Linked DNA regions of Oryzias latipes. The protein of the gene in region 1 purifies or fractionates together with the protein of each later gene. This does not show direct contact. Links are inferred from orthologs where the notes say so. Each region holds a gene or a part of one and is shown in the gene's direction. Other genes may lie near its edges. The genes, in order: strap and csde1.

What was found.
Region 2: the proteins of strap (region 1) and csde1 purify together in Homo sapiens (affinity purification with mass spectrometry; 3 studies listed by BioGRID and IntAct, counting the BioPlex papers as one, with this or other methods). This does not show direct contact. The link is inferred for Oryzias latipes from reciprocal best matches to the Homo sapiens genes STRAP and CSDE1.

The regions. Positions count from the first base shown.
Region 1 is NC_019881.2:4,536,086-4,540,436, forward strand, and holds the start of strap (serine-threonine kinase receptor-associated protein), read left to right. Parts: upstream 1-1,304; 5' UTR 1,305-1,582; coding exon 1,583-1,694; intron 1,695-2,118; coding exon 2,119-2,254; intron 2,255-2,976; coding exon 2,977-3,058; intron 3,059-3,781; coding exon 3,782-3,854; intron 3,855-3,931; coding exon 3,932-4,031; intron 4,032-4,351. UniProt on the Homo sapiens protein: The SMN complex catalyzes the assembly of small nuclear ribonucleoproteins (snRNPs), the building blocks of the spliceosome, and thereby plays an important role in the splicing of cellular pre-mRNAs.
Region 2 is NC_019865.2:1,564,070-1,567,881, reverse strand, and holds the end of csde1 (cold shock domain-containing protein E1), read left to right. Parts: intron 1-689; coding exon 690-802; intron 803-882; coding exon 883-1,002; intron 1,003-1,090; coding exon 1,091-1,269; intron 1,270-1,347; coding exon 1,348-1,511; intron 1,512-1,595; coding exon 1,596-1,728; intron 1,729-2,457; coding exon 2,458-2,505; 3' UTR 2,506-3,789; downstream 3,790-3,812. UniProt on the Homo sapiens protein: RNA-binding protein involved in translationally coupled mRNA turnover.

The DNA.
Region 1 (4,351 bases):
CTCAATGCATGTTGCAGAAAACTTGTACAAAAATAGAAAAAAAAATCTTGAGCATTTACACATAGCACTTGTAAAAACAAACGAGCGTTTGTGACTTGTGTAGTTACAAAAAGAATACACGGTATTCTAGGCCTACAAACTGTTATACCAACCCTCCACTACAATATTACAATATTACAGTGCATTAGTTCAGTGGTACAGTAATTTCTGGCAACATTTACTTATAATGCCAATAAAAGGCATTTTACCTGTTCTTTACCCTAAATCTTCGGATCATGGTGGACACAGTGAATCTACTGGCGTTTGGTTGTACCTGTTGTCCAGCCTCCCTCATGCTAATCCCATGGACAAGCACTTTGTCGATCCCAGTAGCTCTGATTTCATGAGATGTTACTGTTCTTTGTCTTTGCTGACCACCTCAACCACCATGAACTCTTCCTCTCAGATTTCTGTCCATTGTAGGGCCTCACAAACCAGTGCTCTCTGAACTGGCTTACTTTATATGTTCTCCCACAAGTGTGATCAGTTTTGAGTTGTTGTGTTCAAGTGGGGACACCTGTGCTTTCTTTGTGTTTGACTTTTGTCACCTGTGCACACCTTTATGCAGCACGGGTGTATCACAATGAAAATGTGTTGCCAAGTCGTGTCTAAACAGGTGAGAAGTACTTATGGTTCGGCCAAAGGAACGTTCGATGCAATCAGTGGGTTCAGGCAACTGGGCATTTGGTTCAGACAATAATAGGGTTTAGTGTTTTAGCAATTGAGAACAACTGTAAGCGAAACTTTTCCTGTAAACAATATCAATAAATTACAGTATAGGTACTGGTTTGCAGCAGTAAAACTATATTCATTAATGCAGATATATAAAATCCCTACATTATATAACAGACTCTTAAACGTTTGAGTCTCTGGGTGCTTAATAATTCCATATAATTATTTGACATTTAAAACAACTGAATTAGTTTTTTTTTATTATTATTATTATTTAGTTAGTTAGTTAGTTAGTTAGTTAGTTAGTTAGTTAGTTAGTTAGTTAGTTAGTTAGTTAGTTAGTTAGTTAGTTAGTTAGTTAGTTAGTTAGTTAGTTAGTTAGTTAGTTAGTTTAATGTACGTAATGTCCTGCTAATAAAAAAGAGCTTCCCTGTTAGAAAATTGAGTAATTCTTAGAAATGAACCATCTATTGTAACATTTTCTTTATAAAATTCAATAAAAAAAACAAAAAACAACGTTTTTCTCCGTTACTTTCATAAAAAAAAAACGAAAACACCTGACAGACGGATTTTATTGTGAAATTCCCCGGAAGTGTGTCGTGTCTCGCGGTTTTGTGTCGTCATCGTAACTGCAGTTACGCACGTTGCTAGTTAGTTGCAATGTTGTAGCTATTAGCGCGAGGCCGTTTCTTCTCTGGGGGGGCCAAACCCTGAAGGACACCGACCCCCGCTCCTCACACCCGCACCCGCTCGACTGCTCCCCGTTACCCGACAGCCGCTCCTCCGCTCCCGGTTCGTTAGCGGGCCCCGTTTGTTCGCCGCCTCCTTCCGCGAGCGCGACGGTTCCGGCGGCGGCTGAAGACCACCAACCATGGCCATGAGGCAGACCCCCCTCACCTGTTCGGGTCACACCCGACCCGTGGTGGACCTGGCTTTCAGCGGAATCACGCCTTTCGGATACTTCCTCATCAGCGCCTGCAAGGGTGAGCTCCAGCAGGCCGTTAGCCGGCGCGGGGTTCCGGTGGCTCGGCCGTTAGCGAGCCCCTCTGTCTGTGCAGGCAGAACCCGATCTGGTCGTGTGTCGGTTCTGACTTAAAACGATCCTAGAAAACTCGTAGAACAGACCTGGCGGATCCGGTTCTGATGAATGGTCTGATTTCTGAGCAGAACTCTGTCTGTAGGGAAGTTGTGGGTCTTACTGGTAACTGTAATCCATGAAAGTAACGAGAGTATCAAGTAAGGCTCCTCAGGGATTCCTCATCAAACTCTAGGAAAAGCTAGTAATTAATGATTATGTAACAAAACTCAGGACTTGGTTCAAGCCCAACAGTTACTTTGGCAAAAAAAAAGTAACTGAGTAAATGTAACTACCCGCCTCTGGTTCTGATCCAATCCCTTCTGTTAAAGATGGCAAGCCCATGTTGCGCCAAGGAGACACAGGAGACTGGATCGGAACGTTTCTTGGTCACAAAGGTGCTGTTTGGGGGGCCACTCTGAACATGGACGCCACCAAAGCCGCCACCGCCGCCGCCGACTTCACAGCGTGAGTAGATTTGGGAAACTGCCTGTTTTCCCAAGGAAAAACACGCTTCTTTCCTACTGGGAAAGCAGCCTTTTCCTCCAGGAAAGTTGTTTTAATAGTAGGAAACAAACTACTTTCCTCCAGGAAATGCACTGTTCTACCTGCTGGAAATGAAGAATTTCCCCCAGAAAATGAGCCTTTTTTTCCAGGAAACTTTTTATTTCACTGGCTTCTTACCTAGGAAAAAAGCTTTTGTTTTCCCCCCCTCCCCTGGAATCAGGGTTTTATCTAGGAAAGAAGCGGTTTCTTTTTCTCCAAGATAACTAGTTTCTGTGGATTTTTTTTTAAGAAGTTGGCTTATTTTTTTTCTGGGAGTCTAAACGTCTTTCCAGTAGAAAAGAAACTCCTGACAGTAGAGTTGCTTTTTATTTTCAGGCACCCTGACTTTGTTCTACCCTGAAAACTAGCTTGATTTTCCAGTGTGCCTTGGAGGCACGTTAGCCCTGGAAGTTGGGTCATCTAGACCCACTAGACAGTGCTCTGAACCTTTTTTCTTCAATGATTTGTGATCTTCACTGGTGTCCATGGATTACATGAAATCTTTCCACCTTTGTCATCGTAGGGAGAACACGTCGATGTAAGGGTGGGGTCATGTTGCTGCTTTGTAATCCGTTGCCCCCCAACACTGACCGTCCCTCTATGTTCCCCTGTCACACGCTTCTGACCGTGTCTGTTTTCTGCAGGAAGGTGTGGGACTCGGTCAGCGGAGACGAGGTCCTGTCTCTGGCGCACAAACACATCGTCAAGTCTGTGAACTTCACTCAGGTCAGTGTGGCGCCAGGCGTCTCTGCTTTCTTTGTCCGTGTCTGCGTATGCGGGTTTTGGTAGAACCGATGTGGGTTAAAGACCCCGTCCTGTTAAAATGGTGGTAATTTTTCTCACGACGGAGAACATATAGACAGAAAATTAAGCTCAAAATAACATTTCTGATGTTTAATTTTTCAAATCAGGAGCAGACACAAAAATGTCATATATGTGACGTAGGAAATAGGCTGGGGAGTCTAAAGCTTCCTGCTCTGCTCCATTCTGATCATCCACCTGCAGACAAATAGATCCATGAACGTCTTTGTGTTCCTGGTCTGAGCTGGAATCTGGATCAGGACTGGACGGCTTACTCCACACCACAACCAAGAGGCTCATTTCTGATGAAGTCCTGCCGCCCTGCAGAAACTATGTCCTGGAAAATGACCAAAAACCGCATCATCATCATCATTAGAACACTTTGAAAATAAATCACAAGATGATTGGAGTGGCACCAAACTGTAATAGTGGGCCAAACGTAACAACTTTAGCTCATCAAACATCACAGCAAACTGAACCGTAAAGAGGAAGTGCTTAACGCTGGGACACCATCTATACAATGATTGTAGTCACAAAGTGCTCCGTGTTCCTGCTGCTTTGATTTTACAAACATGAGACAGATAAAGCTCCTGGTGAACATTCATCAAGCCAGATGGAGGACAGTAAATCTGTGCTTGTGTCTGTTAGGACAGCAACCACCTTCTGACGGCGGGAAACGACAAGCTGCTGCGCATTTTCGACCTCAGCAACACCGACGCAGGTGAGATGCAGTTTGAAGGTACTTCTGCTAAACACGGCATCATGTGACCCCCCCTCCCCCCTCCCTGTGTTCATCAGCCCCACAGGAGATCGCAGGTCACGGCGCAGCCATCAAGAAGGCTCTGTGGTGCAACGACGACAAGCAAATCCTCTCTGCAGCCGACGACAAAACCATCCGGTCAGTTCTTCTCTGAACGTGGGTCCTGCCGGCGCTGCCGGCGCCCTGGACGGTCCCTCCCGGATGCTAGGAGAGTCCGAATTCCTTCCGTTCTCAGTATATAGTGCTTTTGACATTTTGTAGTTATGTCTGAATCTACAATTCCAAAATCCAGTGCACTAGAAATTTCCCAGAAGTCTCTGCGAAAAAGCAGTGTGCATCGATTCTCACTAGATTGGTGAATATAGACCATCAATGTTTTTATCTTCAGACGACATTAATAATCGTCGCAAAACGCTCAGATTGATTAAATTTTCACTTTGTGAAATTGATGACGTCTT
Region 2 (3,812 bases), on another chromosome or scaffold:
ATAAAATGCAGCAACTGACTCTCTAATGTTACACGTATGCTAATAAGTTTCATTCACTGTTGAATATTGTATTTAGAAAAATGTAATGTTTTATGTCACCTTTATTTATTAAAAGGTGACAACTTAGACATTTAAGGGGAAAGCTAAATTGCCTTTTAATGGTTCTTGCATATAGTTTGGGTTTAAATTGGCTGCAAATCTTTTACAGAGAAAGAAGATTAAATAAAATAAAGTTGCTGATTTGTGGAAACTTGTCAAAACTAAAGACTAACACTTGTGAGGAAACTTAAGCACAGAAAATACTCCCTTTGTTTTGAAAAGAAATGTTTAATCAAACAGCATTTATCAAACAAAACAAATGATTCATTTTTGCCATGAAAAATAAGTTTTTGGTGTGGAAATAGCTTTCTTTAAAACAACTGTCTGTCTTTTTAATGAAGTCTTACAAATCAGAAACAACTTTCAGTGAATCTCCATCATCTATAAGACGTCTACAGACTTTGCTCTATAAGCAAAGTGTCACATAGAAGCGCTATAATTTGAAAAATCGATTTTCCGGAAGCGCATAATAAATTAAAGATCCACTTTGGCTTGTGGCCTGAAAAGGCTGAGGGCCGCTGCTCTGTAGGACTAAATCGGTGAACGCCACCTGCAAAGATCTTTTACACCCAGATGTGTTTAATCCTCAGTGAAATGTGTGGAGATCTGGATAATCTGGATCTGGGCGACACTGTGGAGTACAGTCTGTCAAAGGGAAAAGGAAACAAAGTCAGTGCTGAAAAGGTCACCAAAGTGGCTGCAGGTACCTGAAGGTTTCATTCATTCATAACATCCATTTAAAAGGTTCTGATCACTCAATGAAAGTTCTCTCTTATTTTTTAGTGAACGGGACGGGCGAGGATGTTGGGACAACAATTCTGACAGGAAAAGTGATCCGTCCCATCCGCAGCGTGGACCCCTCCCAGGCCGAATATCAAGGCCTCATCGAAGTCATAGATGACGGTCGGTGTTGCTAGAGCAGCTTCTGTCATTCCAACTTCCTCCTTTTCACTCTTTTTATTATTTTTTGTTTTTATTTTGTTTTGCCCAGCTGGAGGAAAAGGACCGTCTTACCCCTTTGGAATTATGGGAATGGCAAACAAGGGAGACTGTTTGCAGAAGGGAGAATTTGTAAAGTTCCAGGTTTGCACGGTTTCCCAAACTGGCCAGAAGATGGCGTGTAATGTGGTTCCCCAGCGCCGGGCTGTGGTGGAGTGTGTCAAGGACCAGGTATGCTTGATTTCTCTGGCTAAGCCGTTGCCGCCGGCGCCGCAGGTTTAAGCCGTGGGCTCGTTTCCCCTCCTGCAGTTTGGATTCATTACGTACGAGGTGGGCGACAGCAAAAAGCTGTTCTTCCACGTCAAAGAGGTGCTGGACGGCCTGGAGCTCCAGACGGGCGACGAGGTGGAGTTCTCCGTGGTTCTGAACCAACGCACGGGAAAGTGCAGCGCGTGCAACGTGCGCCGAGTCAGGTGAGGGCGGGAATGACCACCGGGGTTACAGCTGGGGTTTCCAGCTCGTCTTGTACAACTTTCCTCACGCCCGTTCTTTTTTAGCGAGGGGGCTAAGCCGGTGGCGACGCCGCGTCCAGACCGCCTGGTGAACCGGCTGAAGAGCATCACTCTTGATGACGCCAGCGCTCCTCGTCTGGTCATCCTGAGACAGCCTCGTGGTCCGGACAGTTCAAAGGTAAGCGACCTCTGACGCTGCGTTCCCGTCGCGCGGCGGAGGCGTCCAGTTTCTCGTTTCCTGCGTCACGTTGGGCGTCAGCTGTGGAGGAATTCTCCAGTCACGGCGTGTTTTTGGGGCATGTTTCCAGATTTCAAATACCTTAACTTTGGTGAATTATTCAAATCACATCAACCAATCAGGAACTCGGCTTTGGCCTGTGACGCGTTGATGATGCGATTAGTGGGTGGAGTCTAAAAACAACACAGAGGAGAATCTGATCGTTCTCCTGAATATATTTTTATTTTTTCCCCTCCTCCACTGACGCGGGACGACTCGTCAAACTGGGACAGAGGTGGAAGTAGCGCTGAACGGGTCTGGTACGCAGACGGTGAAGCTCACCGTACCGGCAGAGTCCCTGAACGATGCCATGAACCCGAACATGGAGGCGGGATTTTCGATGTTGTTGTAGCGCTCTTTAAAATAAATCAGCTTGGTCAGTAGATCATTGGTACTTAAAGATTCTTAGTTCTGAACCGGTAACACACGGCAGGAGCGGCAGGTCTATGAACAGACTTTTGGACAAATGTTCAGTGGGAGGAGGAATTCGTGTCCGGCTTAGCCGTACCTTGACGCCAGCACTCGTCTGTATTTATGGTCGAGCGATGGACCCAAGAGTTGAGCTTGAAGGTGCAAAGACGCTCAGACATAGCCTCCAGGATCTGACATCTTCTCCCTCTTCTCCCTCAGGGCTTCAGCGTGGAACGCAAAACCCGCCAGCCGGGGGTGATCGACTGAGCGGAGGCTCCCGCTGCGTCTGTGCTTGGCCGCTGTCCTCGCAGGCTCCAGCAGCACAAACTGGAATTTGATTTGATGCTTGCACATCAGCTAACCCACAAACGTGCGCACACATGCAGCCGTTGGCGTGTCCGTTTGGCCATTATGCATCCCTGTGAGGGAACTCGTCTCGCTCCTCCACCGTTCCCTACCTCCCACCCATGATTGAATCGGTAGTACCCCACTGCAGCCTCCGTGGGTTCCTGAGAGTGTGCGTCTGTGTGTGTGTGTGTGTGTCATGTTCCCCAGAGGTTAAGTGTGTGTGGCTGAGGGATTTGTTTCAGTTTGTCTTTTTCCAAATTGGCGTGACGACTGGCTTTCCGTGTCTTGACCTCTCGACCAGGCTCTGTCTGGAATTCTGCACCTGTAATCGGTCCGTGGACCCCCCCACCCCGCTCCATTAATGTCCTTCATGCTGTTTCACTCACGGAAACCTCAAGTATTTGATCAAACTGGAGCTTTCCTACACAATGCGTAGATGGGCGTCGGCTCCGTCGGGACGCCGGGACTCTCCTCTGCTCGCTTTTTTGAGCAGTTTTAAATGCTTGACTGAAGAGCTGAAGTAAAAGCATGGAGTTATGTCTGGGGGGGGTGTCAAAGTAGTTGCTATACTTGATGCTGACGTGCCCCCCTCCCCTCCCCGTCCCTTAGCGGTTTTTTCTCTTTCAGGTGCAGAATTCCTCGTTGCATCTTATATTTGCGATTCTTTTATACTCTTTTTCATTTCTGCACATCTTTTTTTTTTTGTTTTTTTCGGAAACTCAGTCTGCTATATTGAACGTTACAAATAAGGTGCCTATTAATAGCAAAGTTAAATAAAAATCAAAATAAAAGTAAGATGTCTCCTCTGTTCCTAGCACACCACCAACATATTCAGAACAATCTTAAGGTGGCCCCCCCCAGTAGAAATATTGCTATATGCATCCCAGAAATGTGGGTTCATCTATACTGTATGTAATGTGTGCTTTTTTTTTTTGTTTTCTTTCTAATAAAAAGATCAAATATAATAAATTTAATTTAACGGAAAAAAGTAAAAAAAAAAAAGATCAGCTTTTGAAATTAGGATATTAGTTTTTGCTCTAGAGAGATGATGTTCCTCTGCACGATGACCTACAGCAGAAACTCCTTCCTCTGGACTTCATGGGGTTTTGGTTGGATGACGTTCAGAGGTTCTTGTGTCTTTTTTTTGTTTTTTTCATTTATGGTCTTGAATGAAACAATTGAATAAAGGTTTTATGAAAATGAGTTGTTTGCTTTTATTTAAAACA